Linked DNA regions of Schizosaccharomyces pombe. Each later gene encodes a partner of the first gene's protein in a complex. Each region holds a gene or a part of one and is shown on either strand. Other genes may lie near its edges.

Region 1 (7,989 bases):
GTTCTTTTAGCAATTCAGCAATGCATTACTGATACAGCTGATCGCGTTCGCCAAAGTGCGGCATTGGCAATTACAAAGTGCTATTCTCTTGACCCTTCATATAAATCGCAATTGGAAGAGCACATCAAAACGCTTTTATCTGATAATAGTCCTATTGTAGTCCCAGCTGCATTATTTACTTTTGAAGTCGTTTGTCCTGAGAAATTAGAAATTATTCATCCATATTATCATAGGATATGTACTCTTTTCCCGCAAATGAATGACTGGGACAAAGTAGTGGCTTTGAAAACATTGGTTAGATATGCCAGACTTACATTACCCGAGCCTTCAACTCCTTCAACACATTCAGATTTAAAGGAACTACTTGAGTCAATAAAGTCTTGCTTTTTCTCTCTTCTTCCGAGTACTATTATAGCAGGTGCTCGTGCTTTTTACTATCTAGCTCCTTCAAATCAAATGCACTTAATCGTTGAACCATTGTTGCAGCTTTTGCTCGAAAAGCCAATTGTTAGGACGACAACTTTACGATATATTTCTCAAATTGTATATAAAACACCGGTAAGTATATATCATTGCCCTGTATTTAAACGACTCTAACATGATATTAGGAATTATTTAAAAACCATATAAAGAGTTTCTTTCTAATTGCTTCTGACAGTGACGATACGTGCCTTTTAAAAATCAACATATTGTCGCGTTTATTGGATGCTCAAAATTCATCGCAAATCCTTCCCGAATTATTGTATTACATTAACAGTCATCCGAATCCTTCTGTTGCATCAACGGCGGTAAAGGCATTGGGTGATTTTGCTAGTGCTAACATTTCTATGGCCCCCTCTTGTCTTAACACTTTATTGCTGTTACTTAAATCACATAATAGCCTTATCGTGACAGAAGCTGCCTCTTCACTTCGGCTTCTCATTCATAATGATCCTAAAGAAATATATCTGCAGTATTTAGCTGCAACGTATGAAACTTTGGAAGTACCGCGGGCCAAATCCGTTACACTATGGCTTATTTCGGAGCATATACTAATCATACCGCGACTAGTCCCTGATGTGCTACGCATTGCTGTTAAAACTTTTGCTGATGAGACATTAGAAGTGAAGTATCAAATTCTCGAATTATCGGTAAGACTATATGTTTTGTCTCATTCTGAAGAGAAGCAAAACGATTTAGAGTCAAGAGATGATGTCGTGTCACTACTTTTTAATTATGTTTTATCTTTGATACACTTTGACATGAGTTACGATTTACGAGATAGAGCTAGGTTTTACAAAGAACTAGCTAGTACACCGAGTTCTGAATTTACTAGGCGCATCGTATTGGAAAGCAAGGGGAATAGTCAAAAAGAAATTATTGCTTCTCGGGACTACTGCATTGGTACCGCTAGTTTATGTTTGAATGAAGACGTGATGGGATATGAGCCAATCCCTAACTGGGCTGATGTCTCTGATTTACCGCCTGATTCTGTCCGAGAAGGTATCAAGGATGTTTTGCCAATAAACCCTCATACGGGAAATATTTATTCAAACAATTCACCGGGTGTGAAAGCATTATCTTCTGATAACTTTAAACGTGATTTTGGAGATACTAACGCAATTAACCGTCCAAAATTTGTTGGCCAGCAAACGCTTGAAGAATTTTATGCTAGTGAAACTTCTGAAAGTTCTGAAGGAGAATATGAAACATCAACCAGTGAAAGTGAAGATGAAGAAACGGATGATACTTCTCAAGAGGAAGACAACGAAAAAAATAGTACACCTGATGAAGATACAGAGAACAACAATACCAGTTCTATATCTACTAAAAGTATAATGGATAGGCCGCTCACAGAACCTGAACCTAACTATTGGCAATCATAAACAATTGATAATGTAAATATTCAGTTTTGGAATGTAATCATGCAAATAATTGTACTTCATTTAAACGGCGAATAAATATTAGCTAATAATAAACATGATGGATTCACGGAAGATAATTAAAGCTTTTTATTTCAATAACGCTTATCATGGATTGAAATACAAACAACGATTATTACCATGATGCCTTGCTGAATGGATTAGTGACAAAAGTAAAAATGCTTATTCTTACCGAACTCCGGGTAATTTATTAGCTAGTGCTTTAAGTCGAAAAGGAAACTGAAATAGTCAGCATCAAAAATGCATTTATATGACATTATAATCGTACCCTTGCAAGTCCAAACGCACGAAATACACCTCGGCCTCTACCTGTCTCAATACAGCGATTTTTTATTTTTGTAGGATGTGCATTAGTCGGTAAAGCCTCAATCCGCTTTTTGGCTTCTAAACGCACCCGAAGAGGTAGCTCAGGATTTCTATATATATAGAGATTGCTTTGACGTTCAACTTCGTGTTCAGCAAAAAGTCTCCTACATAATAAATCACGAAATGCTTTATGCTTCAGGTGGCCCAAAGCCCTCATATTTTTTATTTCTGGTTTAGAAGGCTTCTCTGTTGTGTTCAAATTGTGAGTGTATTCTCAGTAGATGAAATAGTCAAAATAAATTACGAACTGCGCTAGCGATCTGTATAATTATAGTTATTTTAATAACTATAAACAATGTGAATAAGAGAAACAAAGTAAATTAGATAATTTCTACCAAATAGTGTCACATTGTTTTTATATTAAGTATTTTTAATCGTAACCCGTTCTTTATATAAATATGGTCTTGCGTTTATATTAATTGCTTATTAACTTAATATATATAGTGGAATAAAAAATAATAAATACCGTAATTATCACTTTGAAGCACTGAGGAAATATTGAACATTTACAACATTAAATAGGAGTGCTTCAAATAATATAAATTTCATATGTATGCAGTAAAAGAATCTGCATAAGATTTTACATGGATGAAGCTTTTTGATGAGCGATTTCATGACTTTAACTTTGGAGCTGCAAAGTTGGATTCCAAAGCATGAACATAGATATTACCAGCGGCTTCTTCTTGAGCACAAGTGGCAATTGCAAGCATGCTTCCGTCAACATTAAAAGAAATAGATGATATATTGATCTTTGAAGGATTTAACACTCTTAATCGTTTTCGGACTTGTATATCCCAAAACGCAACAACGCCATCTCCCCCAGCAGTTGCCAATGTTTGATGAATCGGATGAAATTTTAGGTCGTTAACTGGATAAACAATATCGTAGTCCTTTTGTATCTGCCGATGGCATTTAAAGGTAAAATTTTTGCTTTGCGCTTCCTGAGACGGGTTAATATATTCAACAGATGTCCTTCCCTCAATGCTGGAAGAAACGAATCCCTCAAAATTTTGGTTACAGCAAACACTTCGAGTCATATACTTAAAACTAGAAGGACGTCGCTGAAATGGAAGTTTTAAATTTCGAATATCGTACACCAAATTTTCTCTTTCTGAACAGCCTAGAACCAATATATTATCTCTCGAGCTACTTGCAAAAATTTTTTTTCCTATATCCTGTCCCTCGACAGGTTGCTTTACGCGAACATCCCAAACACGAAATGATTTGTCCCAAGACCCACTAATGAAACAGTCTAAAATGTTAATAGAATAGCTGGCTAATAAAATATATATCTTACTTTCCAAACGCAACTTAGAAATGCACGATACCCCCTTACCGTGGTTTCCTAAAAACTCATGGTTTCGCGTATTAAGATCGAGGGTAGTAACTGTCCCATCTAAATTTCCTACTAAAGCAGTTTTTTCATCTGTATATTCTAAAGAAAGAATAGGACTTGATAAATCGTATTTCCCTAAAAGTTCGGGATTTTCCGAGATTTGATAATGCAGTAAGCTACCATCCCAGCACCCTGCAATTAGTTCGTTTTTGACAGAGGGTGAAAATATTACACTTGAAATCCCGTCTTTTGAATTTTTTAGTAATGTTTTTGAGAAATTCATGGCAGACTGACAGATGACATGAAAAAGGAGTTTGGCGAGGTATAGGCCTTTAAATGTTGCTTCAAAAGGACAACGTCGAAGTTCGATGGTAATTGACCGAATTTTACGAAGATGAATTTCCAACGATGCCGATTATATTAGGTGTTAAACATAAATACTTACGTTTTCATACGCGCAAATTACTGTTTCAGCTTCTTTTCAACAAATTTTGACAGTCTGTGCCTCACAAGTATCTAAGATAAGCGAAGCGAATTGCTAATAGCTGTGTAAAATAAATTGCAAAGGAGCTGATTCTGACAGTTTAAATATGATGTAACAACCGTTATATAAGACATAACTATGAATACGTTTCAACACAACTACGTTCTACTAAATACCACTCTAAAGCGATGAAAAAAAATCATAAAAGAAAGAAATGCACATAACTCTACATACTCATACAAAAAACTGAAAGGCAATAGTAGATGTCAGTCAACTTTGACAAGTGAATGTACTACTGTAAAAATAATTTGAGCGTCGACGAGAAAATTTGCCTAGTTGATAAAGCAGAAAGAAGATTTAAATAGAAAATAAAGCTTAGAGTTTAGGTGACATGTGCAAAATCCCTTAATAGCCGACACAAAACTCACCAGGTTTGGCAACAATATGGGTTTCAACTGCTTGACGCTCAACTGTGCGACGTAAAACGTTCTTCAAAATCTCGACAGCATCAGGAGTGATCTGAATATGAAACACGATACGAGGTCCCATTAAAATGATTCCAGACTTTTTGGCTTCATCGCAAAGAATAGCAACGTTGATATTGGCCAATGTCACCATGTTACTTTGAGTGGGAACTTCAAGCTCAATTCCAAGAGATTCTGCGTATTCGGCGACTTCAATAGCATATTTATGGACCTGCTTCAACAAAGGAAAGTTATGCTGAATTGAGTATAATCCTGCAGCAGCAAGCATACCAGATTGTCTCAATCCACCACCATAAGCCTTACGGAACCATTTGGCTTTAGCAATAAAGTCTCGTGGTCCCACAATAATGCTACCAACAGGAGCCGCAAGACCTTTGCTTAGGCAAAGACTAACGGAATCAAAGTAAGAGCAGTACTCCTTAATTGAAACGTTGGAAGCAACAGCAGCATCCCATAAGCGAGCACCGTCGCAATGCAGGGGGATCTTGTGAGCCTTAGCTAAACCAGATATACGAGCCACTTCATCCAATGGAACGACAGCACCTTTAATAGTATTTTCTAAACAAATCAACCCAGTGGGTGAAAAGTGAATATCATTTCCCAGGATAAGCTTGTTCTCAATTTCCTCGGCAGTAATATATACATTATTTTTTGGAGAAATAGGACGAACAATAGCTTGCGTAAACAAACCAATTGCACCCGCTTCCCAGTTATAAATATGGGCGCGATCATCACAAATGATACTATGAGGAGGTTGATGCAAATGACTACGAATACACAACTGATTACCTTGAGTACCAGATGTTACGAACAAAGCAGCTTCCTTACCAGTCAACTTTGCAACATAAACTTCCAACTTTCTAGTATCCTCATCTTCCTCATAAACGCAATCACCATCAGAGGCCTCATACATGATGCGACGCATTTCATCGGTAGGAACAGTCAAAGTGTCACTACGGAAATCATTCCAAGGACGATACTTTTTAGCGCTCCCTTGGTTGGAAGGGCATAATCTTGTTTCGGTAGTCGTAGAAGTAACGGATCCGCTCATATTTTTTTTTTATCAAAAAGGAATTGACGAAACTAAATTTAAACACCTGCAAGCTAAGTTTGACCGCAAGACACAAAAATTGTTTTCAATGTAAAATAAACAACAAAAATATATTTATTTTACAGATCTAATAAATCGTTGAAGATCAGCAGTTCAACGAGAAAAAAAACAAAAAATTTTTTAGACTGTTGAAGCCCAAAACCAAAAGAATCTTTAACGAAATTTAACAGTTAAATTTTTTCCTTATCCAGAAATTATCTTTTGATAAAGTAAAGATGCAGTTGAAGGCACTTTCTCTTTAAAATCTGGGCGTTTTTAAATAAAAAAAAAGCGACTTTTTACAATAGTAAGAAAATCGCAAATCACAACCTTTTCAGTTTGAAGATAAGTAACTAGTACTTTTTTTTCAAAATATCAATTATAAATAAAACTTATAAATTGATAATTATACAAAAATACCAAATTGTTGGTGTTGGTGCCACAACTGGGAGATGGTTAAGGTTAACTTTCAAACCATTCCAAAAAATTTACCACTTTAATGGATAACGGAATAAACTGCCAAAATGTTGTGAGCGCCCGGAGTAAGAAATTAGATCCGCCAGGATATAGCAGGCTTTATAATTTGGCAACACATATAATCGCAAAATAATCAAAAAATATCATTTTTCTCTAGCCATATAGTAACCATATATTCTCGAACTATAATTTTATTACTAAGCATCGAACCCAACAAAATTATGCCTTTTTATCAAATGTATACAAATTTTGAGATCAGCATTGTTTATTCTTTTACTATAAAATTATTAATTTAGCGTGAAATAGCTTTCGAAGCAAGATGCAATTTACATTTTTCAAGTTTGCCATTTCGCCGTGATCCTCATCAGTAATTTGTCGGTGAAGGCAAAATTCTGGATTGCTTAGGAAATGAGCAATTTGTACATGTTTATAAAATTCTGTTAACCGAAGCCCGCTTGAAAAAGTTACAATTATAACAGTGGAAGTTTTGCACCTGTAGATAACTTATCGATATCGTTAGATACTTTGAGGCTATTCGGTGAATAATGCCCGCATTCTTTTAGCTGGTTTTTCAGTTTGATAATTAACGAGCGCCGGAAATTTCAAATTTTTCAAGTAAATTGAGTTGGATAGGATTTGAAGGATCACGAAGCTATATTTTAAGGAGTTCTCATCTCCATAAATTACTAAGTACATTGTAAAATGCCGGTTTATAATAAGCCTTGAAATCAATCATACTTAGTAACTGCATTTTGAATGCTAAAATAGAAATATTTTCTTCTTACTGCTGAAGCGGTTTCCGTTAAAAATTGTTCAGATAGTTGCGTTCGCGCTATTTAAAGCAACCTTTATAAATATATTCAAAGCTTGGCAAGATTCTCTTTCGAGCCTTAGCGGAAACTTTGATTTCTAATTGCTCAACTTAATAAAATCGTAAAAAGATCTTATAATTCATTTTTTGCCTTGCAATTGTCGCAAGGGGTCATAGCTCAGTGGTTAGAGTGAGGGATTGCAGATCCCCAGGTCACTGGTTCAAATCCGGTTGGTCCCTTGTTTTTTTCTTATAGAAATTAGATTTTTTCACAAAAAATCAGAAGATTTGTGACAGTTTCAGCTTTTCGACAAAAGTATGTAACTAAGAACAATCATTTTCTAGATGCTTTCTTTTGACTTGAAAACTTGAGTTATCCGAATAAAGTAGAGTGATATTCTAAGAAGGATAGCCCTCGATATATGCGTGTAACAGTCTCAAATGTTCTCTGGCTTATAATATAAGATCGTCAATTTACCATTCGTACCCATAGACCCACCTTATATTCATTCAATTACTACAAATTCTTTTGTTGTATCCATTAACTAACGTAACTTTTTATTAGGAAAAAACATAGTGATAATTAGCGTGTCGAATTAAATATAGCGAAATGGCCTTAATATGTAGTTAAGCTATTGTTTCTTAAAACACGTTTATCAAAATGCACCGTAACTTGTAAATGAGTATAGCCGGACGACTTGTCAACAACTAGTGCTCTAATTTATTAAATGGCAATTGTGCTATTTCTCTTGTATTTATAATTTTTATTATTAAGGCCTCTTTCTTAACTTTTCAAGTGTGTTACAACTTAAAAACAACTTAATTTTGTGGGTATTACATTTTTTTCGTGAGTGGACTATTCAAAAATCAGACCTTCACGATGACTCTCGATCAAGTTCGCATACCCTTTCTGGTGGAACAAACTTATCCCATCATTGTTCCTTCTTATGCAGGATGGTTTGACATGTCGAAAATACACGATATTGAGCGAAGGTCGAATCCCGAATTTTTTAATGGA
Region 2 (8,124 bases), on another chromosome or scaffold:
TTCAATTCAGCTGCAAAGTTAGTGGGTGTAATTCATAAAAAATAAAAGCTCACTCACATTTTTTATAAATTGGCATGAAAATATGATCAATTAGTCCATAAATCCCAAATATTTCTGCTATATGTTCTTTAGTGACATTACGCGTCAAATTTTCCACAAGAATCTATTTTGCATCGTATTAGAAACGATTAGTATGCCTTAAATAACTAATTATACATGGAAAACGTACTGTTCGCAATGGTTCTTCTGGAGATCTGGAAAGCGAACTCGAGTAAGATCTATTCGAGGAAAAAGAATCACGACTACTAGACCGATGTGAGAAATTGGAAGAACGCGACGCTGAACGTCCAGATGGAGATCGGGTATTGTTAAATTGTCTTGTTGAGCTACGTCCACGATAAAAGGCCTCCTTTTGGTACATGAAAAAAGATGTGCCAGTTCTTGTATGTGTATAAGATTTGGTTACGTGGATAGCAGTAGACAGGGCAGTTACTTCATAGAGCAGGAAAACAAAAGTGGAAATCAACATAGTATTACAAAAAGCATAATTGAGAATGTTTTATATTTTATTACTAAACTTTTGAGAGGAGTTCATTTATTCGATTTATACGAGTTTCGTCAACTTTCCTTGACGAACTGGATACCGATGAGAGAATGCTTCTTTGGGAGAAACATTTCGTTTTTTATATAATTCAGGAGGTCCTTGATAAAATGATGCATCGCGTACTTTCTGCGGAATAAGCCGTCTGGCCTGACATCTAGCTGCTCCTTGCCGCATATTACGACTTCTGATATAGTATGTATAGGCTAAAGCGTGCAAGTCTTCAGGAAATGGAGAAGGAACTTCCGTTAAGCCAGGACGAGCAACTGGATCACGCACATAAACAAAGGAACAAGTGCGGAAGCAAACTTCTAAATAAGCAGGGATAAATGCCATTAGTGACATAAACGGTTTAGGAACAAAGTTGGAAATTGTTTCATTGATAGAGGGCAACTTTCCATTAGAAGTCTGTTCAAATAAATCATCATCATTATCCTTTTTTTTTTCATTTTCTCCATCCTTAGAGGACACCTGTTCAGTTTGCTTCCCATCCTGTATAGAAGGGGTATTGTTACTAGAGGCAGAAACACAATTCATTACTGATTTTTGATCAACAGTTACTAAATCACCAGGTAAGAGTTGACGATAGGCACGGCGTTCAGGTTTTCCGTTTACGTGCACTTTTCCATGAAGCACCAGTTGGCGAGCCTGTAAAGCGCTAGACGCAAATAACGCTCGATGAATAGACATGTCTAAACGGGATTCCAAAAATGCATAAGTCTGATTCATAAAAGGGATGGGAAGCTTATTATCTAAGGAAGAAATAACCCCCTCCAATTTTGGGCGGAAGGCATTTTTCAGTTGATATTCGCGTAATTGAGGACCATGATAAGACCTTGTTTCCTTCTTCGCATTCCATTTTTTTTGATATAAAGTTCTATTATTCAGAGCAGGTAGTTGTTTTCTTGCAATGTTGTATATATTGTATTTGTTCCACGACGGACGCAAAAGCTAGATATGTATTAATAAAAGCGAAAAAATCAATAATTTCATATATAACATACACCGCGCTTTAAAGAGAACCTAAATTTCCCCTTCATGAGCAATTAAGTCTTTGTCACGAGAGTCCAATCTTCCAGCGTAGTGCGTGAAGTTGATGGTAAATTCATAAAGGTGATTAAAGAGAACAAATTTTTAAAAAGGCTACTTTTACTCGAAAATTCAATTAGTAAATTTTATTTATTTAAGTTTTAATGCATTATAATTTGTACCAAAGCTAGAAGGTGCTTTACTATTTTCTGCAAAACAGCTGATGATGAGCATTAAGTTCCTCACGGCTGGCAAAGTGCCTCAGCCTGCAGCACAATTTTTAGATCATGGGTTTTTGAACTAAATTGATTTACATTAGTATTTCATTGTTACATAGAGTATTATCTTCTGCAGCCAGGCTATTAAGTGCAAATATGAACTGGCAGAAGTTAGCTCATAGCGCTACCTTCCTTATTAAACAAAGGAGAGCTGGACAGGACTTGCACAGAACCACACACCAAGTTTCAAGAGGCGTATATCTCTTTCGTTTTTGGTGATTTTGATACTCATTATTGATTTTTTAGTATTAAATTGCTATTATGATTTCCTCTGCTGTCATTCTGGTCGGGGGTCCATCTCGGTACGTACCAACGAAAAATAAGTCTATTAAACGCGTGAATATCAGTAACTAATTACTTTGCAGTGGTACCCGATTCCGCCCTCTTTCGTTTGATGTCCCTAAAGTACGTCTTATTTAGAATTTATATGTTGGTAAAATACGTAATCCAGTTTTACTTTCTAGTTGCATTTGAAACATAAGAGCTATTTTGCTAACTAAATTAGCCTTTGTTTAAAATTGGAGGACGAGAAATGATTTACCATCATTTGGCGGCTTTATCCAAGATTGAAAGTGTTAAAGATGTCTTTTTGGTTGGTTTCTACGATGAAAGCGTTTTCAAAGATTTTATCAACGAAGTAGCTTCGCATTTCCCCAGTTTCAATCGTATCAAGTATCTCCGTGAATACAACTGCTTAGGAACTGGTGGCGGCTTATACCATTTCCGTGATCAAATCCTTAAAGGACATACTTCTAATGTTTTTGTTATGCATGCGGATGTGTGTTGCAGTTTTCCCTTACAAGAATTGTTAAACGTTCATCACGAGAAGAAAGCTTTAGTTACTTTAATGGCTACTAAGGTTAGTAAAGAAGATGCTTCTAACTTCGGTTGCCTTGTAGAGGAACCAAGTACTGGGCGTGTACTTCATTATGTTGATAAGCCAAGCTCCTATCTTTCAAATATTATTTCATGTGGTATTTATATCTTTGATGCCTCTATATTCGATGAAATCAAAAAAGCGTACGAGCGTAGACTTGAGGAGGTCGAGAAGCAACTCAGGTCCTTGGATGAAGGAATGGAAGACTACCTCAGTTTGGAGACCGATGTGCTTGCTCCATTGTGCTCAGATTCCTCTAAAGCCATTTATGCTTATAATACTCCTGAGTTCTGGCGTCAAATAAAAACCGCTGGCTCTGCTGTTCCTGCTAATTCCTTGTATTTACAAAAGGCATATCATGATGGTACTCTTCCAAAACCCGACACTGAGGCTGAGATCATTCAGCCGGTTTTTATTCATCCTAATGCTATTGTTAGCAAAGGTGCAAAGATTGGACCCAATGTTTCAATTGGTGCTCGTGTTCGCATCGAGGATGGCGCACGTATTCGAAACTCAATTATTCAAGAGGATTGCGAAATTTCTGCCAATGCTGTTGTTTTACATTCCATTCTTTCCCGCCATTGCAAGATTGGTAAATGGTCTCGAGTCGAAGGTTCTCCAACTCTTCCAAGCCAGCACTCCACTACGATTATGCGTAACAGCGTTAAAGTCCAAGCTATTACTGTTATGGGCGCCGATTGTATAGTCCATGATGAAGTACGCGTTCAAAATTGCCTTGTACTTCCTCATAAAGAAATAAAGGTTGGTTTGGTTGGTGAGATTGTGATGTAAGATACTACATTTAACCTTGCAGCAAACTTGCTTTTTATTATATCTACTTGACTCTCCTTTATTATATAATATACATTTATTAGCTGATGCAGAATGCAGATTGTTAAATGATTAAGATGCGTCTTGACAGACCAGTTAAATGACATTAAGTATTATTCTAGAAAAAATCCTGAATTTAATTGTTATTAGTGATTTGTTTTATTACTGTCAATAAGCATCTTCTGCAACGTAAGACTCTGCGGGATCAATATCATTGAAATCAATGTTTTTAGAAGCCTCGTTATGCATTGATATTTGCCAATCTGGAAGGGAGGCAGTACCAACCTTTTTAGTTTGAAAACCTTCTGAAGTATCTAAAGGATTCTCTAATACTGGTATCGAAGAGTTTGATGTGGTAGCGAAAGTGTCGTCTTTTTTTGAATCAGTTTGTAAACATCGTAGAGAGCTAATTTCTCTCGAAAGGTTTTGTAATGCTTCTTCTTGAGATTTCTTAATTTGCTCAAGACTTTGTGGTAAAGTAATAGTACTCATGGTATATACATCTTGTGAGATTCTAGCTATTTCACGATCTCGGTTTTCGGACGTACGCTTCAAAGTATTCAACGTCTCTTCTAAATCATCTAACGCAATGTCCAATTCATCTTGCTGTTTTTCAGTTCTCTCGGAAAGCTTTCTTGTTTGTTCATCTAAATTTTCGAGTATTTTATGAGCTTCTAGAAATTTAGCATCCAAAGCGTTTTTATCAGCTTCATAAGCGTTTTGAGATGGTGCGCGAAACATTGGTGCTATGTATTTCTAAATTTAATTATGTTAAAACAGCACGAATATTTTAAATGTTCAGTTTTTTGAACGTACCTTTACTAATGAATACGCCGACCATGCAAATCCAGTCGAAATAACGCCCATAATAAACCAATCTCTCCAATCTCTTGAAACAAAATTACTAGTGTTTTCAAATCGAGGATAAGAAGGGAATAGCGGATTTTTTGCTAGCTTGAATGCTTCTTGAATTTCTTCGGCAGTTAAACCTTTGGATTTTAGAAATTCAATCTTTTTCACATCAGGAGCATCTAATACAGTTTTTTCTCTTAAAAATTCAACGGAGTTTCTTAACAAATCCTCCCTCATTTTTCAAATTGACAAATGCTTTGTACCGAATTCGCTAGTTAGTAGTTGTATGGAAATAAGCAACTGAAATATATTGAGTAAACTCCGGACTGCAAGATAGTAATTTCACGATAATTCTCTAAACAAGCTTGGAAATGTCGAGGTTTATGTTTTTTTAAGAATGGGATTACACAATTGTTTAATTTGTCAAATTAATTTGTGAAAGTACGCTAATGAATTGTTCTGGTTATATTACGCCGAAAGTTATTAACTGACAAATTAAAGAAAAAATTGTTTCTTATTGTTTGGTGGTTTAATACAGTGTTAAATAAAAAAATTATTTTTCGAAAGTTCAATAGAAGGAACAAAATATTGACAAAACAAGTAAGCACATGATATATATGTAATTATGGTATCAATCATTCCTAAGCCCTAAAAACAATTTCTATTTTATTAAAAATAACCATATTTACATTATCTAGAAGGCCTAACCTGTCTAACATTGAAGTTCACTCGCTTTCTTGAAATCCATCCATCCCAAGCCTTGTTTCCAGTCAATAGGTAATTAGGCGTAGAGTTGGGTATAATCTTAGGAACAGCTGCGGTAAGTTAGTAAGCAATCAATTGACTATAAATGAGGTATTTGAATGAACAATGCTTACCATGGAAAGCCTTTCTAGAAGTTCCAGTCATAATTACAACGTCTCCACTGTGTAAACGTAAAGCTGAAGGCTTTTCCGACCTCGACTCGGTACCGATCAAATATATGCAATCCAAACCCATTGAGAGAGAAATTAATGGAAGTGTCAAATCCTCTTCAGATTCATCGATATGTGCACTCAATGTGTCACCAGGAGAATAAAAATTTACGATTGCAGCTTCAGCTTTCCAATGTAAAAAATCTGTGCTCTCTTTAACAACCTTTTCAACAAAGTCACCTAAATCTTTGGGAAACCCAGGAGATTTGGAAGGATCAGGATACTCCTTCGTCGTCCAGTCATACTGTTCACCTAGTGTAACCCATCGAAGCTTTTTATGAACTAGTCTGTCAACCGTCAAAGGCTTAGTTTCTCCAAGGCCGTCAATGATACTTTCTCCATCACCATTGTAATATCTGCGCCATATGCTATCATTACCTAATGGTAGTTGATAAAATGGTGAAAGGTTGGTCTTGTTTTCAGGATCTTGAATTTGCGTAAACATTATAGATTTTAACAGCTGCATTTGCAGTTCCGATGAAACATAGTTTTTAAGAATTAATAATCCAGGAGCTTTTTGAAAAGAAAAAACTCTAGGTTTAATTTCAACTAAAGCTTCAAATCCAAAAGACTGGGGATCATTAGGATCAAGGACCTCAGACATGTCAGGAATTGTGTCGGCACGACATTTATAGCGTTTTTCTTCTAAACGAAAAACATTCGCCTGTTCCATGTTTCCCGCTAGCATTTCAATAAACTAACTTTATGTGGAGAAATCGACAGATCATTTAATAGAGACTGAATGAAAAAGTTTAGGCCACTTGCAAGGTTTTTCTCCCAGACAGTCATAGATAATTAAATACAGTAAGAACCATAGTACAACTTAATTCAATTTTTACCATAATGCGTAATATTTATTACCTTTACATCTTTTATACATATTCTCAATTAATATACTTTGGCATATTTTAAATGCGAAGTTCTTAAATACGCTTTAAATGGTTAACCCTTTTAAAGCAGCAAGACCCAACAATACTATTCATTTTACCGAAAAGTGGTATTTTATCATACAAAAAATAGAAGAAACAGGCAAACATTCGAAGTTGTTAAAGAATAGAACACTTTTATACGTAACTACAAATTGAGTTATAATCACTGCCAAAATTCCCTATAAAACAATTCGTATAAACACAGTGTCGTGAATGAAAAAAATAAGAAGATTTTACTTTTAATAAAGTGATGGGATCAGTTTAAGACTTGAATGAGATGAAATGTTTTTTATAGTAATTTATTCATTTACGTAGGTCCAATAGAAAATATACCGATGTCAATCGATTTTGTTTTTAAACTCGCAGTCTGAAAATATCTTAAAGTAACCTATGTCAACAATTCAACATCAACATTATTTAGAGAATAAATAATTTTTATTCGCAATAATTCAACTGATTTGTGTCTTTTTTGGTATCTTTGCCTGTACTTACTTTAACCAACATTGTGGTAAGATTATATAACTTTGGTATCTGGCAGTCAAGGTTGAATGTAAATTGAAGAGACTCGGAAACAGTATCAAGACTTGAAAATAAAATTATGTGTTTTTGGTTCTAAACAAACGAACGATTATTACACAATTCATGAAATATCGTTCTTATTTCGATTAAAACTTCACTACACTGGAATCAACACATTTTCTTAGCTGAAACATCTCCACAAATCCAAATCCCCATAATCTCCTTTTAACCTTACCTAAAAAAGCTAAAAAACCATGGGTAGCAATACCTCACCTGGACAAGCTGACCCACTTGAATCCGAAAATGAATCATCGTTAACCTCTCGTTTTCTTCCAAATAAACGTGACGGAGGAAAAGACAATGAATCCGTTATACCAGAGAAAGAAGAACCTGATCTAAACGAGCCTGTTCTTGCTGTTCCTCTTCCGAAATCCCGATATGCACTGACAAAACGAAGTTCTTCAAGTGAATATCCTAGAAGATCAGCTTCTACTAGTGCTAAGAAAAACGTTATTCCTATTACTAGGTCCTATTCTACGACATTCTTTAGTAAAACGAATGATCAGCCCACAGTAACTGGCAACCAAGACAAACCCATTTCCAGATTACGGGCGAGTAAACTTCAAATTCAAAACTTTTGGAATTACATATGCTTTGAGCTTTTGGCTAATGATACTGTGCCCGCAAATCCTATTAAAGAAAAGCATGTTGAAAACTTTCTGGCTACACCATATGCAATTGAAAAGACATTTTTATTTGGATGGTTTGTTAGTGTCGACAGCTTCCTTTATATTTTTACATTATTTCCCATTCGGGTCTTAATATCTTTTTTTACCCTAAGCCGTTGCATTTTTCAGGGTTTATTTTCAACTTTTTTCCATCGTAATAGCTCACCAAACCGATCATTACCTAGGAGCCGAAAAATTGATCTCTTAAAACTTCTTTTAATATTCTCTACTAGTATTCTCATTCGAAAAATTGACGTTAGTCGGCTTTACCATATTATACGTGCTCAGGCTAGTATACGATTTTATGTTTTGTATAATGTCTTAGAAATTGCGGACAGATTGTGTTGCGCTTTGGGTCAGGATGTTCTTGACTGTTTGTTCTCTAATCATATTCTTTCTTTCAATTTTTGGAATCCAGCTGGCTGGATGACATTTTTCTATTATTTTGCAATTTCTCTAGCGTACATGGTTTTACATACATTGGTTCTTCTGTATCAAATCATCAC
Region 3 (8,081 bases), 1.9 Mb from region 1:
GCTATAACTTTTATTGGTGGTATTGATCTTTGTTTCGGCAGGTATGATACTCCTCAACATATTCTGTATGATGACAAGCCTGTTGCTGATAAAACTGGTTTATGCGAGCAAACTTGGAGGGGAAAAGATTATTCAAATGCTCGCGTTCATGATTTTTTTGACCTTACTGAACCTTACAAAGATATGTATGACCGATTGGCGGTACCTCGTATGGGTTGGCATGATGTCTCTATGTGCATCATTGGTCAACCTGCTCGAGATGCTGCGCGACACTTTGTTCAGCGATGGAATTATCTTATTCAATGCAAGAAGCCTGCCCGGAAAACACCTTTGCTAATTCCTCCTCCTGATTTTACCACAGACCAATTAACTGATAGCCAATTGACCGGTACCTGCGAAGTACAAGTCCTGAGATCTGCCGGACTATGGTCTTTAGGTTTAGTTGATACTGTTGAGCAAAGTATTCAGAATGCTTATGTTACGTGCATAGAAAAGAGCGAACATTTTATTTATATTGAAAATCAATTTTTCGTAACCTCTACCACTTGTGAAGGTACGACGATAGAAAATCGTGTTGGAGATGCTTTAGTTGAGAGGATTATAAGGGCTCACAAAAATAATGAAAAATGGCGTGGTGTTATAATGATTCCGTTGCTTCCCGGTTTTGAAGGTCAGATAGATTTACAAGAGGGCGGTAGTCTTAGGTTGATTGTGGAATGTCAATATCGCAGCATTTGCCATGGTGAACATTCAATATTTGGAAGGTTAAATGCCAAGGGTATTGATGGCAGCAAGTACTTGCGTTTTTATGGTTTGCGCGGTTGGGCCCATTTGGGAGAAAACCATGAACTTGTGACTGAAATGATCTATGTTCATGCTAAAATTCTTATTGCAGACGATCGAGTTGCGGTCATTGGTTCCGCAAACATTAATGAACGTTCTTTGCTTGGTAACCGCGATTCTGAAATTGCTGCGGTAATTAGAGATACTCTAACCATTGACTCCAAGATGGACGGTAAGCCCTATAAAGTTGGAAAATTTGCACACACTCTTCGGAAACGACTTATGAGGGAGCACTTAGGTTTAGAGACCGATGTGCTTGAACAACGAGAATACAACATGGATGGCTTGGATCGCGATACAGAGTGGAAACGTGTAGAAGTCTGGACTCCTGATGAAGGCAATGCCATTAATGGTTCTGCTTACACTGCTGAAGAGTTGAAAATGAAATATCGTTCTCAGAGTCAATTTACCACTACTCCAGACATCTTACGAAAAGCTGAAAAGAGTATGAAGAAACTAGATCAACGTGTCAGTTTAATTCCTTCTTCGATTGAATTCAATATTAAAACTCAAAAGGACAAGGTCGAGTTTGAAAAGAACTACGAGAAGTCTAAAAAAGGGCCTGATGTTATAGCCAACGCCCTAGTAGGCGGCATCCCCTTATCACTGAAAACAAAGGAGGACTCATTATATGAACTTTCCAAGTTCTCTCAATGTGGGGAGGATCAACGTCCAATGGTACTTAAAGACCCTGATCATCTAGTGCCTGAACCCAGTCGTCCACACTGTGGAAATGGACTTGTGTTTTATGATGATATACCATTGCTTGAGGTGAATCCTATTAGTGGAGAAACAATTCCTAAATTTGACGCTTCAAGCTTTGAGGACCCCGTCTGCGATGAATTTTTTGAAGACATATGGTCTAAAGTGGCTTCAAACAATACTACTATTTATCGGCACATATTTCGATGTGTACCGGATGACGAGATGCTAACGTGGGAATCATATAATGAGTGGAAAAAATATGGAAAACGCTTTAAAGAAGAGCAAGCCCGCTGGCGTCAGGAGGAGTTGTCAAATCTACACGAAACTCATGAAAAGTCAGAGAATGATCCAAAAAATCCAAAGGCTGGTTCCCAAGGTAGTGGTAACACGAGTGCAAGTGAAGATTCGAAGACAGAGAAACCAAAAACCCGTACTAATAATGGTTTACAAGTTCCTGACAAACGTGTAGTTTACGACTTACTACGTGGCATTCGGGGACAGTTGGTAGAACTTCCATTAAAATGGATGTCTACCGAATCAAACGCAAGAAATTGGCTCAGTAGTATTGACAAAATCCCTCCGTTAGAAATTTATGATTAGAGAAACAGTACCTTTTATACTACAGTTTTATTTCATCTTAATATAGTAATGAGAAGGATTAATTCCTTCAATATTAGCTTACATTATAGACTCGTTAATTTTAATAGTAACTTAAACAAACTTTCCTTTCATATTATTCATCTGTAGTTGCTATCGATTCTCGTTCAAGTACTGTATTATGTGATTGCTTGCCAATCGTTGTTTTCTTTTTAGAAGTGAGTGTAGTTGCGTCTGCGAGCCATTCCTGTGGCATCCGTTTATCACACTTCTTGTATTTCCAATGGCCAGTATTCAATGGGACATGTGAAAATTTTTCAGCATTTCTCTTCGATTCTTCAATGAGCGAAGTTAATATCTTTATAAGATGATATTTATTTTGTAGTGCAGAAGAATACTTGTCGGAAGATATTCTGACTAAATCCTCCTCCGGATTATATCTTGGTCCAACCAATAATCGTAATACATGTCGTTGTTTCTCCTCTAGCAAAGGAATATTCGTAACTTTAAATGTAACAACGACCTTCGGATTCATTTTCTCAAACGAAGACATTTGGACATCAGATTCAAACCTAAAGATCTGGCTATCAGCAGGCTTTTTAAAAGACTGTGTGTAAGCTATAATTGTCAGAGAAAATGGAACATTAAGCATATTAAAGTGATTGTGAAATAGAATTCCTAAGGTAAAACTACCCAGTAAACTTACGCGTAAGTCCAGGAAGCTCATAAGCAGCTTTCCTATACAATTCACGTATGACCTCGTGCTCTTGTATTTTCTGCCATGATAGATTATTGGAATGGACGTTATCATCAATTGTTTTCAATTCCTTCTCGTCATGAGGCTCGATTCCAAAAGGCGCTGACACATAAGCACTTCGCTTAAATCTTGTAAAATAGAAAACAGAGAAAGCTCTACTAGTAGCACAAAAGCTTGATTTGGAAAGTTGCCCGAGGAATATGGCATCTGCTTTCAATAAAGATAAAAGGGGATTAAAAGCCATTTTATAACCACCCAAAACACTAAATATATGTAATATTTGTATTATAAAAAAAAATAAACCACATTTAACGAATGCGCAGTAGTGTATGATACCGGATTTTATATTTTCTTTGAAACGAAAAGAGTGGCCGTTATAAATGGAAATCTGAATCTAACAAAAACTTTTTTTCTAAAATTTAACAATCCAAATGCTCAAAACAATTAAATAAGCTACAAAAAGGTACTTGAAGGGGATAGTGAAGAATGTATAAACATTGTTGTCCTTGACTTGACTTCGTTGTATATAATTATAACACACTAAATCTTAGTAGTTAGAACCAGTAAAAACCACATAATAGACTGGAATGAAGGTTAGTAACGTAAAATAGCATCGATTCTACTCAATTGCATTTATAACATCTATTGAATAAAAACACCTAATAATACTTTCAAGCTTTTTTTTTTCTTAGGAATTTAATAGCACTTGCTTCCCATCCTTTTTTGGCATTCGCTGTTTAAAAAGTGTGTTAGTTATCCTTATATTTTGATTTTCGTAAGCAAGACTACACTACGTTACGCTGCGTATCACTATATGTCATCTGTTAGGATAGATTTAAGATTCGTTTACTAATAATTGCTGATAACTATTCTTTTGAGTACTTGTTTGTGTTTGATCATGTTTACTCCAAAAGATTATAAACAGAGTACATCTGAACAGAAACAGGTTCGTTTATATGTTAATTAATGGCAGGTAACAACGTAACCCATGTATAAATACTTACAACAAATTGCTACCCACATCACACCTATATATAATATGATATTACCGATCACAATGAAAACTCACAGAAGTCAAACAAGATACTACAATGCGCAGCTAGATAATATTGCACTTTCATTACTAGCGCTATTTAGTAAATAATTAAAAGAAGTTCGATTCAATTGTAAGTTTCATGAGAAAACAGGAAACTCCATTTAAGAATGATTTAAATATAAGAAAAAGACGCAATGTTTTTAAGAAAATGGGGTAAACAGAGTGATGGCAAGTCATCTGCTCAGCGTCTAGTCATTATTATTCCCTGTATGTGTTAATTCAAGCCTATCAAAGTAAAATAAAAAATTTTTTACGAAATAATCTTTTATTGAACTTGATTTAAAAAATCTGTATTTTTTATTTAACTATATTATTATGAACGTGAAATAGTGCTTAATTGGGTTCTTTAACCGTGATGTTTACAATGTTTGTATTGTATTACTTTTAAGTTAAGTAAAAACTAAATACCTTGACCCACATAACTTGTTCTTTGCAAAAATGTTAAGGAGCTGAGTATTTTAGAGTACTCAACACGAATGGAAGTCAATGCATATAACAATCTGTAGACAGTAATATTAGACTGTTAATGTTTACATGAGTCATTTGTAAAAAAAAAAAAAAAAAAAAAAAAATTATAAAATAATTGAATAAATAACCTATTACAGAAATCTTCAGACAACGATATTTTATTAATTTATTCCATTGCAATATTGCTTTAATACAATTTGGCTTGACATTGTGATGGAATTGACATGGATAATTTAAAATAATTAATTAAAAATTTTGTTGAAATTAATTGACTATTAACAATTCATGAAGTATCGTAAATCTGCCCTGATAAAATAAAATTTAAAAAAGTGTTGAAAGTGTTAATGGCTTTATAATTTGTAAACTTAGCCGTTTATTAAGTTTGAATATTGATAATTATTGAAGAATAAAGCATTATTTCCATTTTTTCTTCGTTGATTCATAGCTTTCATCAGACCTCTTCTGACCAAGGTTGACTAATGTATACAATTTGATTTTAATGACAATTCTTTCTTCTTATTAATAGTTTTTGCATAATTTTTCCCCAGCTTCTTATTTAATCCATCGAATATTTCAAATTTACTAACCCATCATCATTTTACCTTTAGATATTTTACGAGGAGCAACGCGTTACTTTAGCGGTTTAAAATTCTTTAGCTTTATGAATCAGTGTAAATTTCACTTTTGCATAAACACTAGTGTAAAAGCATTACAGGAGACCAGATTTGGTTTAAATTTAGTGGCTATAGCTAATTATCCAACATAACCCGACTAATCTTGATTTGTGGAAAGGGTAGTTATTAGTTTTGTAGTTTCTAAGAATTCTAAGTCGTGGTTTGTCCCAGTATCTTCTTTTGTCGAATTCAAACGAAATACTTAAAAATGGTTACAATTTTAAAACCTGAAGAATTCTATGTTTCTAGTGAAGCTGACATCGTAAACGATGTTTCCATGACTGAAATGGAGGATGAAATAATGGAGGATGAACAGATGGGTCTTGTAGACGGAGAAGACGTTTTAGAGGAATTTGATAAATCGATACATCAAAATTTAGTTACACCCGGACAACTAGTGACTGATGATCCTCAATTTATGCGCGGTCATGGAACGTATTTCGAGGATGGAGGAATATATGCATCTGTTGCGGGATCTGTACAAAGGGTCAATAAATTGATATCCGTGAAACCTCTTCGTTCTAAGTACGTTCCCGAAATTGGTGATTTAATCATTGGGAAAATTGCTGAAGTCCAACCAAAACGCTGGAAAGTGGATATTGGTGCCAAACAGAATGCTGTGCTTATGCTCTCTTCTATTAATCTTCCTGGTGGCATTCAAAGACGAAAACTAGAGACTGATGAGCTTCAGATGCGTAGCTTTTTCCAAGAAGGCGATCTCTTAGTTGCGGAAGTTCAACAGTACTTTTCCGATGGTTCTGTATCAATTCATACACGTTCTTTAAAATATGGAAAACTCAGAAATGGTGTTTTTCTTAAGGTTCCTCCTGCGTTGGTCGTTCGATCAAAATCACATGCTTATGCTCTAGCAGGTGGAGTCGACATTATTCTTAGTGTAAATGGATATGTATGGGTTTCTAAACATAATGAAAATCAACATTCGTCAGTGAGTATTACCAGATTGGAGGAGGAAGCCTCAGAATCCATATATTCTAACGAAAACGATGAGATTGATGGGTATACCAGATTAAATATATCTCGTGTATCCATTTGCATTAAAGGGTTGGCTAGTCGCTCTCTCCCTCTGACTCAAGCCTCAATCACCAATTTTTATGAATCATCTCTTGTTTTCTCAAACCTTCAAGATTTGACTGTTCCTAAAAATATGGATCAGATAGCAATGGAAGCAATGCAGTGACTTTGAAAAGCTTTTCTGTCTCTAAAAAACAACACTTGTGCTGGACATGGGTTTATATATAAAAATAGAATTGTGAGTTTGCAAAAGTTGTTTATGATAGCTTTACTATTGATGGCAGCGGTCCCACTAATCTAATATATCAGTTTATATTTAATCATATTTTTTGTAATACATTTATTCAAATTCTTATTTAAGTTTTCGTATCGGCTTTAATTAGAGACACTACAACTGCGCTAGTTTTTCGAACGCTCTATCTCAACTAATTTAAGCACCCAGAAACAGTTATAATGAATACATTTTTATAAAGGAATCAGCAGTACTAACAGAAATTTTTTAAAGAAATTATGAAGTTACCGAATTTGTTGGCGATAAGTTAGTCATCGCTTTTGTCTGATTTACCACTTCCTCCGCCAAGCAACAAAATTTTCTGCGAACGTAGTGCGCCTTGAACAGTTTCTTTTTGAAGAGGAAAAATGTCTGTTGAGGAACAAATTGTGACGCCCTGGGATGTAAAAGGCTCTATAGTCGATGGTGAAGAGAAAGGAATCGATTATGAGCGCTTAATCGTTCAATTTGGCACTAGGAAAATTACTCCTGAACAACTTGAGCGCTTCGAAAAGCTAACTGGAAAGAAGCCTCATTTATTACTTCGTAGAGGTGCTTTCTTCTCCCATCGTGATTTTGATATGATTTTGGACCGCTATGAGCAGAAGAAACCTTTCTATTTGTATACAGGTAGAGGACCAAGTAGTGACAGCATGCATTTAGGCCATATGATTCCTTTTATGTTTTGCAAGTGGCTTCAGGATGTTTTTCAAGTGCCATTGGTCATCCAGTTAACGGACGATGAGAAGTTCTTGTTTAAGCAAGGTGTTTCCTTAGAGGATTGCCAACGATTTGCTCGTGAGAATGCTAAGGATATTATTGCTGTTGGGTTTGATCCAAAAAAGACTTTTATTTTCATGAACAGTACCTATGTTGGAGGTGCGTTTTATCAAAATGTCGTTCGTATTGCGAAATGCATTACTGCAAACCAATCCAAGGCTTGTTTCGGCTTCACCGATAGTGACTCTATTGGAAAAATACATTTTGCGTCAATTCAAGCCGCTCCTAGCTTCAGCAGCTCCTTTCCTCATATCTTTAATGGCGCCAAAGATATCCCGTGTTTGATTCCTTGTGCAATCGACCAGGATCCCTACTTCCGCTTGACGCGTGATGTTTCTGGTAGGTTGAAATTTAAGAAGCCTGCACTTTTGCATAGTCGCTTTTTCCCAGCTCTCCAAGGACCACAATCAAAAATGAGTGCCAGTAAAGATTCTTCTGCGATTTTCATGACTGATACTCCAAACAAAATTAAAAATAAGATCAACAGGCATGCTTTCTCTGGAGGTGGCGCTACAATCGAAATCCACCGTGAAAAAGGAGGTAACCCAGACGTTGATGTTGCATATCAATATCTTTCTTTTTTCCTAGATGACGACGAGAAGTTGAAACAATTGTACAATACCTATAAGGCTGGTACTCTTTCAACCGGAGAAATGAAAGGAGAGTGTATTAAGCTTTTACAGCAGTTCGTTTCTGACTTTCAAGCAGCACGTTCGAAAGTTGATGAGGCGACCCTTGATATGTTTATGGATGGATCTCGTAAGTTAGAGTGGTAGATGCGTTGTCTTTCTTTCATTTTACAAATAGTGTAAATTAGATACTTGTTTAAGTTGCATTATACAATGAAACTGAATAAAC
Region 4 (8,422 bases), on another chromosome or scaffold:
AATATATTTTGATGTACGTATCAAATTCCTCAACCGAAAGTGGTGGTGGGTATTGGCGCCCAGTGGTGAATCGTATTTTACTGGGATTAGAATTAGCAAACATAATTCTGTTTTTATGCTTGTGGGTACAGGGAGGTCGTGTTCGCGCTTATTGCATAATTCCAAACTTTTCCTTTGCCATTGCCTTTAAGATATGGTGCATGTTTGCTCTTGATCCAAAATCTCATTACATGATTGAGGATCCATACATGAAGGTTGTGGAGCCCTTGGAAAATGAGATTAGTGAAAGTGAAATGTGCTTTGGTCATCCATCCACCTATGCCCCATTGCTCGTGCCGATGGTTCGATCTGATGCTCGTGCACTTCTTCCCTTGTTTTACAGCGGACGTACGGAAACACATAACAAGTTTGATTTTGCTACTGACTCTGATGATGCTTCTGAGAAGCACTTACGTGGTGAGGAAGAACCATTAGAAAACGTTGATTTTGTTGATATTGATAATGTGGATACAGCCAAAGAAGTGCATGATCAGCAACAAGTTCAGCAACTCAAGAAAAATTTGTCCCGATCTTATACTCGTAGCCGTGGTGTTTCTTTAAGAGCTAGATTGAATGAGGAGGAGCTGCCTTTAACAGAATCTATTACCCAAGATTCTCAAATTAGTATACCAGAAACTCTTGAATCCCAAAGTACGGAAATTACACCAATCAATGTCTCCGAACATTATGATAAATATTACCACATTTTTTAATGGTAACTTAAACTTTTCCTTGGAATTCGAGCTTTTGTACAAAAACTTTATAACTGTTCAAATTTACTTTGGCAAAGATACATATTTGAAAACTTTTTATTTCCTTAATTCTCAACCGATTTTGTTTTGCTTAACATTTGTTTTCTATGCTCCGTTTCTTATTTGTGAGCTCTTGAGAAGAATTTAAGTGTGCTTGTATTCTTTAGGTCTCTTCTCCGACCTTTTTAAATGAAGATGAATCACCTAGATTTTGTTGTGGTGTTTACTTGATTATTTTGCGTTTGATTCATTCATTAATTTGATAGCCATCTGTTTGGTTATCTCTTTTGCGTTGTTTTCTTTCGTTCTCCTTATATTTTCCCTTTGCTTATTGTTGTTTATGTCTGCATACCTTTCTTTTCATCCCATCCCAATTTTTTTTTTTTTTTTTTTTTTTTTTAACATTTCTTGTCATAAGATCATGTTTTTTGTCTTTTCTTATTTCGCACAACTTTTTATACCTTTGCAACAAATGTCATTTTTGTTGAAACGAACATGTGATTTATCGTTCGGCAATAGCTAACTTTATGTTAAAATCAATTCTTCCCAACAAGATTACTTTTCCCACCATAACCTTGTAATTATAACAGATAGTTTGGTACATTTGAATAGATTGCTTTGACAATAATGAGTAGTAGTTTGTTAGAAATGGAGGCGCGCTTGAAGTTTTTTTGTACTTTAACTGTTTAAATAATTAAATAAACAATTAGTTTCAACAAACATCGATTATGTTAAAAAGTCGTAAAAACATGCGTCTACCAGCTGGCAGTTTCGAATCTGCTAGGTATAAATATGCAAGGCATACAACCTTTCTATGTAAAAAATATTATACATAATGTATTAAAGAATGCTAATCAAATAAGAAAAGCTTCGTATGTATTTTGCTTGCTCATAAATAGTCATTTATTTACGATCCTTCGTGCCTTCTACTGACCATTTTGCAGCTTTTATATACCACGATAAACCACGTTAAATAATTTAAATAATAAAGTCATTACTGCAGTATAATTACAGTGCAGAATGGTGTACCCTTTGTAAAATGACACTATTTTGACGTAGGAGAATAGTAGGACTGCGTTAAGCAAGAGCAGTCGAACCAACATCGCCCAATCCATGGTCTGTCGATTTTATTCTTTTACCAAACACGATAGCATTTAATTACACGATCGACAATGTCGGAAACATCAGAACAAATGGAAGAGACTGTGCAATCTGGTAATGAACCCATTTCTAAGTAAGTACCACATATGTTCTTTAATCAAATGTTTACATTTTACTAACATGTTTTTTCCTTATGATAGGAGCACTTGGATGGTATGAATTGTACTGAGTCCTATAAGATTGAAGGCATAATCAATCTGCTTTCAGCCTTATGCAAGGAATCTTACTTTTTTCTTTGACATTGTAACATTTTACTTACTTTTTCTTCAAAAAAGGGGTTCATCAAGAACTTGGCTACATTGTAAGTATATTCAGTTAAAAGAAACAAAATTGGAAATATGGTATCTTGAGAAAAAAAAAAGGTAAATTTGAACACGATGCATTCTTTTCCAACGGGAAATGTTCATTCGATTTTTAGTTTCATTCAAATCTATGTGATTTTTGTAAAAATTTGAAATATAAAAGGAACTTTTTTTAAGCGTAAAATTGCTTATAATTGTCTTATTTCCAGCAATTTGCCCGGCTTTCAAATGGCTGGCTGGTTTAGATAATGAAATAACGCGTCAAAATATGGACAAGTGCTTATTTTTGCTGTTGTTAAATTGTTTTTTACTCATGTTCTTTGCTTGTCATGCCTTTAGCTTTCATATTGATATGTGCTATTGTCCTTTCGAGTCTAACATTAAAGAGGACTTTCCAGCGCCATTTCTTAATTTTCCATCTCATAACTTTCTAGTTTTTTTCTTTTTGTTTTTCAGAGAGGAATTGTCTTTTTCTCATGTCGATTGCTCTTTTTAATCTGTATTTGAATACTAACTTTACTTCACAGTACTGGTGACTTGTCCACACTTTCAGCTCCTTCTTTCATTTTATCAGGGACATCTTTGCTCGAATACATGTCTTATTGGTTTGAGTTTCCTGAGCTATTCGTAACAATTGTCGATTTTCCCACTCCTAAAGAACGTATGCTGGCTGTTCTCAAGTGGTACATAACTGGTCTTAGTCGTGAATACGCATCCCGGAATAAGAACGTACGTCTTTATAAAATTTTATCATGTAATGTTAACCAAAATTTCAGTATGGTACTGAAAAGAAACCGTTGAACCCTATTTTGGGAGAGCTTTTTTATGGGTCATGGGATTCTAGCAAGGGTAAAGTGGAGCTTACTGCCGAGCAAGTATCCCATCACGGACCTGAATCAGCTGCTCATGTGGTTTGTAAGGAAGCCGGTATCACCGTTGATACGCATAATAAATACAGAAGTGGATTTTCAGGACGAACTGTATACGTCAACCAACTCGGCCAGCTTCGTGTTCATCTTGAAAAGTATAATGAGACATATTATATAACTCTGCCCAATATCTCCCTTGAAGGACTGTGGTTTATGGCACCTTATATTGAATTGTACGGTTCGACTTATATTGTTAGCAACACAAATTATATTACAAAGATCGATTATTCCGGCCGAGGTTACTTCAGAGGTACCAAGAATTCTTTCAAGGCTACTATCTTTGAGAAAAATGAAGATCCTGATTATATTGTTGAAGGTGTATGGACTGGCGAATCTAAATTGACTATTCCTAGTCTGAAAAGTACCATTTTTTTCTTAAGCATCCCTAGTCTTGAAGCTACTCCTATTACCGTCAAGCCTGAATCAGAAATGGGAGACTGGGAGTCTCGAAATGTTTGGAAAGAAGTGTCCGCTGCCTTAGCCAGTGGTAATTATGATATTGTAAGCTCGAAAAAGTCTACAATCGAACAATCACAACGTGATATGCGTAAGAAAGAAGAAGCAGAGGGAGCAGTTTGGGCCAGAAGATACTTCAAATGGGAAGAGCATGATAGCGATGCCAGGAATGCTTTAGCCCAAGCTGTTTTAGAAGTTATTGAACCAGGCTTCTGGATTTACATTGGTGACACTCATCCTTCATTGCCAGCAGGAGAACAACCTGTCAAACGGATGGAATAAATTTGTGTTACTTATATTTTTGTTTCTTAAATTTATGTGTGCTTTTCGGGCTGCTATAGTTTTCCGTCCTTAACAGTGTCCTTTTTTCTACTTTTGGGAGGATTGGCCCAAAAGCTCTCTTGGTTGTGCAATCAGGGCTTAAAATAATGCTTGAAAGTATATAGGTATCTTTCGCTCTTTAAACGTTCAACTGAAGTTTTACGATCAACGATTTTACTAAAGGTTCTTTTAACGGTTGGCTTTTAGTACGAAATCAGCACTTTTCATTTAGATTATCTATGCGGTATACTAGTTTATTACTTATATGTCGGTTACACATATGCATGTCAGGGAAAAAGCATTGCAATTTGATCTATACTCATTTCGAGATTTGGTAGTAGATTTTTTTTTTTCATTAAGTGATTTCTCGCTTTCTTTTTCAAGTTTATTTTTACATACTATTTGGTTTGTGATGTTTAGCTTGTATTTAATGCATTAATTGAAAATTACACTGTTCGGTGCATGAATAAATGTAGTGGTGTAGAGTTGGACTGGTTGATGAAATATGGTAATAATACCAAAGTAAATTGCTTCTGGTACAGTTAATAAATTAGCTTATAAGGCTAGTTCACCATTTATAATATTTTGTTACAAACGATTAAGTTGTTAATATTCATTGTTGAACGATTTTAAATCCTTTGAGACAAGTCTTTTATAAATTCAACGGAAGTACAGGAATGATTTGTTAGAATTGTACAACTATTGCAATTGGCTATTAATGAACGTGTTCAGTTCCAATTAAACGAATGAGGAAATCAGGAAAGCAACAAAGCGCATTGCCGTTTCCGAACGGAAAGTCCAAAAATCTAAGCAATAATAGATACACCGATATTAACCTAAATATTTGAAATGAAGCTGTTAATTTGTTTCTAAAAAAATAAGGGTATAACATCAGTAAACGAAATGAAGTTTCAGTATAAAGTGAAGATCCATTTTAACCATAAACGCAAAAGCTAAAAATTACAAAGGCAAAATATTGGTACCAAGATTTCTCATTACCAAACAATTTTAAGTACAAAGCAACAAGTAATTACAAATGGATAGCATCAAATTATGAGCGCTTTCAACTAGCGCATAACCTCAGATAGATAGACACTTTAAAAAATTTAGAAATTAAGATATCACTACGCTAACGATAATGTGGAGAAGGAATTAAAAAAAAAAAGGTGATATTGTAATAAAAAGAATCGTAAAGAAAACAAATATCGCACTCAGCCAAAAAACGTGGTTTTAAAAAAACAGTACGGAAGGGTAAAATCGGTCAAAAATTATGAAATTTAGTTGAGAGAGGTAATTAGCGTGATCACAGAGATAAAGTGTAAAAAAAAATAAAAAATGTGTTAAAGATATCTAGACATTGTGAAGTGGTCGTAAAAAAGAAATGTCATGACTTGAGCAATAACGATTATAGTGAGTTTCAAGAAACGGGTTTTTTAGGAAGCAACTGGAACTAAAAGTGAAAAAAGTAACGTTAGTAAGAATTGATAGATTGATAGAAAGAAGTAAAACAAGTAAATTAGTAGCCAAATCGTAACGAAAACAGGGATGAGATCCTACACTCCATTTCGGAAAGCCGGGCAGTTAGGGAACATGAGAAAAATCACCCGAGCGGTATATCGCAAGCGGGTCGAAAATTTTAGTCAAAAAAGAGAGTTGAAAGAAAGTTTAACGAATTTGGACTAGTCATAAAAATAGATAAAGAGAGCTTGGGCATACCTTTTCAGCTAAAGAGCGGACGGTGTCGGATGGTTGTGCTCCTACACTTATCCAATATTTAAAACGTTCAACGTTGAGCTGGATATCTTTTATACGAGGAATGGAGTCCTGAGAATCAATCTTCTTAGGGATGGGATCAAAAGTGCCGATGGTTTCGATAGGTTTGGCTTGAGGTGCTTTCCTATATTGAGTTAACAAAGTCGAACCAAAAGACAGGAATGGATGAAGGAGAAAAAAAAGGATGTACAGGTGATATGTAAACAGTTAATAGAGGCCAAGGGGGCCAAACCACAATAAATAGTCAATTAATAAGAAAAATTGTGGTTGGTGTCCTTGGCATTTTGAATACTATGTAGAAAGACTAGATTAAATAGATGAGAGCATCCAGGAATACCTGAAAACTAAAGCTTCTAAAAAAGATCGCAATTTAGAGCCAAAGGAACCGTCAAAAAAAAGCAGTCTTTTAGCATTTTATCTTCCATTCTTTCATAACCCACATCAAGCCATCTCCCTTACTAAATCCTGTACAAAAACTTTCCCCTTTACGTGAACCGCTACAAGTGTTGTAAAACACGAAACAACCGTCTAGGTATGTTTTCATCCTACTTACCATGCATTCGCAACTACGATATGGTAAAAAGGTCTATTTCTGACGCCATGACGCGCCAAACGAATTTTTACTACCATTGAGAAGAGCCGGTTTTCAACGAGTCCTACAAATCCCGTCTTTCCCACTTGGTGGTAGGAGTATGGTTAAGAGCAACTTGAGTAAACACGAAGACAATGCAGGTATCAAGGATGGAAAGCAGATGGACGTATCGTATTGTGCACTCCGTTGTTTATAAAATAGCGTTGTGCCTTGCTTTTCGTTCATACTTACAAACAAAACATAATTTCAAAAGATCATTTCAAACGTTTTCTGGGATAGAAATTACGTTCTTTTCCTTCCATTTATCTTTCTACTTCCTGCTGACTCTATTTCTCTTTATAAGCAGTGTGAATTGATCATATTCACTACCCCCGGAGTGAGATACAGCACGAATTACGGTAACACGAATACTACAAAGCGAGCATTCTCCACGTTGTTCAAGGTATGCTTTGCTTGTATCGAGTTTGCTAAACAGGAATACTGTAAGCGATTGTAGAATGCGTATACGAGATACCATAAACGAACGTTACTCATGTAATGCGTAGTTTGCCAACCTTCTTTTCACCACGCAATCCTTATAACGTAATGTTAATCGCTATAGACATTCCTTAGCTTAAGCGGCTTCGTCTACTTTTAGCTTTTTCCTCCCTCCCATAAATTCTACTTAGCGACAGCAAAACATAACTTAAGACTCGCGTAGATTGCGCATCCCTGTTGAATATTTAACTCCATCCGTTCTTGAAAATTTCTAGTGATCAAGAAAGCTATTGATTGAATCTTAGAGGGTTTTTGTTGCTTTCGTACGAATCGTTGTTTGGGGAGTTCGGTTAATTGGTATTTTGAGATTTCCCAACACCTAGGCTTCTTTTAGTTAGCATTTTGATCTTGTTCTGAATTGCCCATTCTTTTGGTGTTGTTACGAATTGCTGGATCCACTGACATTGATTTTTGCCATCGTACTCCCGGTTACTGTCAAGTCAGTGTGTTGTGTCGACGGATTCAAGCAAAATAGGAACATCGGATTGAAACGTTTCTTTGGACATCGCTTTGTGGATGAACGGTGCTAGGTTTTAGGCTAGTAGCAGTTTTAAGACTCATTACATATCGGAACACCTGAAGATTTGACGTTTACATCCTGCCTTGCGTCAGTTTCTACTCCTTTCTTCTCCGTCATCATATAATTGCTGTCAATTCCTTATAACGCAGCTTGGGGGCCAATTTTTACTATATTCCCCTTTATATATTTAGTTTTTATAAGTTTTTCTTCTTTCATTGTTTATCCTGTCAAGCTTGTTCATCTTGTCTCGTTTACTTGGTTAGTTCGTGAACGAGTGCGTTCTTGGGGTCGCTTACCTTGAAGATTCCTGTTCAACCCGGTTTCATAATAATTCAACTTGAAAGAGGAAAAACCTAATTTTTTGTTGTTTTATACTTTCCTTCGCTCAAAGACAACTACTATAGGCGTTTTCTTGGGTTCCAATTTTATTTGCTTTCCTACTACAATTTCCACCCATTCTATCTTTCCTTTAGTTTTCGCTTCCTCTCCTTTTTTGAAATAATCCCGCTTTTCTTCTAATTTCTCGTTTATTAAACGGTGTATTGTTAAATTTTTTTTTGCGGTTAGCGTTTCATCAACAAGAAGTTCGGAAATTCGAATTCTCTCCATTACTACTGAGTGTTTTTTCTTTTTTCTTTTTTTAATCTTTCTCTTTTTGTCTTGGAAACTTTTCATTCTTTAAATACCTATAAATACCTTTCGTTCTCCTTGACTCATATCCAAAACGACTGTTTGGTATTCGCTTCGCTATGTGTCCTTCCCAACACTCGTCGCTCAAGGATATTCATCGTCAACTCGAAAACACTGCGATTTCCAATCCCACTGAAAACGCTGATCCATCCAGTTATGTGGATGGCTCAAATATCATGGATTTCAAGCACCCATCCATAGTTTCGTCTTCAGCATCTTCTTCATACCCTATAAGCCACGTGCCCTCTGTAGGAACTCGTGGTATACCACGATCTTACTCTATGGCGTCTGCGTATCCATATCAAGTCAATTCCAATTCAATGGACGCTTCTACTGCCTTCAATCTTAAC

Evidence for each region.
Region 2: mrp2 (region 1) and nam9 share a complex: the UniProt entries of both Schizosaccharomyces pombe proteins name them as parts of the mitochondrial small ribosomal subunit.
Region 3: mrp2 (region 1) and rsm24 share a complex: the UniProt entries of both Schizosaccharomyces pombe proteins name them as parts of the mitochondrial small ribosomal subunit.
Region 4: mrp2 (region 1) and mrps16 share a complex: the UniProt entries of both Schizosaccharomyces pombe proteins name them as parts of the mitochondrial small ribosomal subunit.

The regions. Positions count from the first base shown.
Region 1 is NC_003424.3:2,503,400-2,511,388, forward strand, and holds mrp2 (mitochondrial 37S ribosomal protein uS14m), read right to left. Parts: upstream 2,486-7,989; 5' UTR 2,446-2,485; coding exon 2,191-2,445; exon of another isoform or gene 2,142-2,190; coding exon 2,095-2,141; exon of another isoform or gene 2,054-2,094; coding exon 2,038-2,053; 3' UTR 1,866-2,037; downstream 1-1,865. Other genes in the region: AP-3 adaptor complex subunit Apl6, read left to right, coding at 1-558, 609-1,865; mitotic spindle checkpoint WD repeat protein Bub3, read right to left, coding at 2,900-3,540, 3,586-3,907; threonine aldolase Gly1, read right to left, coding at 4,514-5,644; SWI/SNF and RSC complex subunit Ssr2, read left to right, coding at 7,852-7,989. UniProt on the Schizosaccharomyces pombe protein: Component of the mitochondrial ribosome (mitoribosome), a dedicated translation machinery responsible for the synthesis of mitochondrial genome-encoded proteins, including at least some of the essential transmembrane subunits of the mitochondrial respiratory chain.
Region 2 is NC_003423.3:3,727,648-3,735,771, forward strand, and holds nam9 (mitochondrial 37S ribosomal protein uS4m), read right to left. Parts: upstream 1,703-8,124; 5' UTR 1,642-1,702; coding exon 1,606-1,641; intron 1,553-1,605; coding exon 605-1,552; 3' UTR 548-604; downstream 1-547. Other genes in the region: rns1 (putative RNA-binding protein), read right to left, coding at 1-10, 58-163, 230-421; mpg2 (mannose-1-phosphate guanyltransferase), read left to right, coding at 2,170-2,210, 2,274-2,313, 2,414-3,577; protein Pex14, read right to left, coding at 3,785-4,372, 4,433-4,705; abh1 (alpha-ketoglutarate-dependent dioxygenase), read right to left, coding at 5,159-5,283, 5,347-6,115; SPOM_SPBC13G1.05 (folding protein), read left to right, coding at 7,145-8,124. UniProt on the Schizosaccharomyces pombe protein: Component of the mitochondrial ribosome (mitoribosome), a dedicated translation machinery responsible for the synthesis of mitochondrial genome-encoded proteins, including at least some of the essential transmembrane subunits of the mitochondrial respiratory chain.
Region 3 is NC_003424.3:559,235-567,315, reverse strand, and holds rsm24 (mitochondrial 37S ribosomal protein mS35), read right to left. Parts: upstream 3,391-8,081; 5' UTR 3,147-3,390; coding exon 2,852-3,146; intron 2,843-2,851; exon of another isoform or gene 2,764-2,842; coding exon 2,282-2,763; 3' UTR 2,243-2,281; downstream 1-2,242. Other genes in the region: phospholipase D Pld1, read left to right, coding at 1-2,148; exosome subunit Rrp4, read left to right, coding at 5,349-6,338; tryptophan-tRNA ligase Wrs1, read left to right, coding at 6,812-7,999. UniProt on the Schizosaccharomyces pombe protein: Component of the mitochondrial ribosome (mitoribosome), a dedicated translation machinery responsible for the synthesis of mitochondrial genome-encoded proteins, including at least some of the essential transmembrane subunits of the mitochondrial respiratory chain.
Region 4 is NC_003423.3:553,834-562,255, reverse strand, and holds mrps16 (mitochondrial ribosomal protein subunit S16), read right to left. Parts: upstream 6,432-8,422; 5' UTR 6,364-6,431; coding exon 6,287-6,363; exon of another isoform or gene 5,858-6,286; coding exon 5,677-5,857; intron 5,411-5,676; coding exon 5,378-5,410; 3' UTR 5,008-5,377; downstream 1-5,007. Other genes in the region: Ca(2+) transporter Rsn1, read left to right, coding at 1-752; osh42 (oxysterol binding protein), read left to right, coding at 1,964-2,025, 2,093-2,105, 2,228-2,253, 2,782-2,983, 3,031-3,921; sre2 (membrane-tethered transcription factor), read left to right, coding at 8,132-8,422. UniProt on the Schizosaccharomyces pombe protein: Component of the mitochondrial ribosome (mitoribosome), a dedicated translation machinery responsible for the synthesis of mitochondrial genome-encoded proteins, including at least some of the essential transmembrane subunits of the mitochondrial respiratory chain.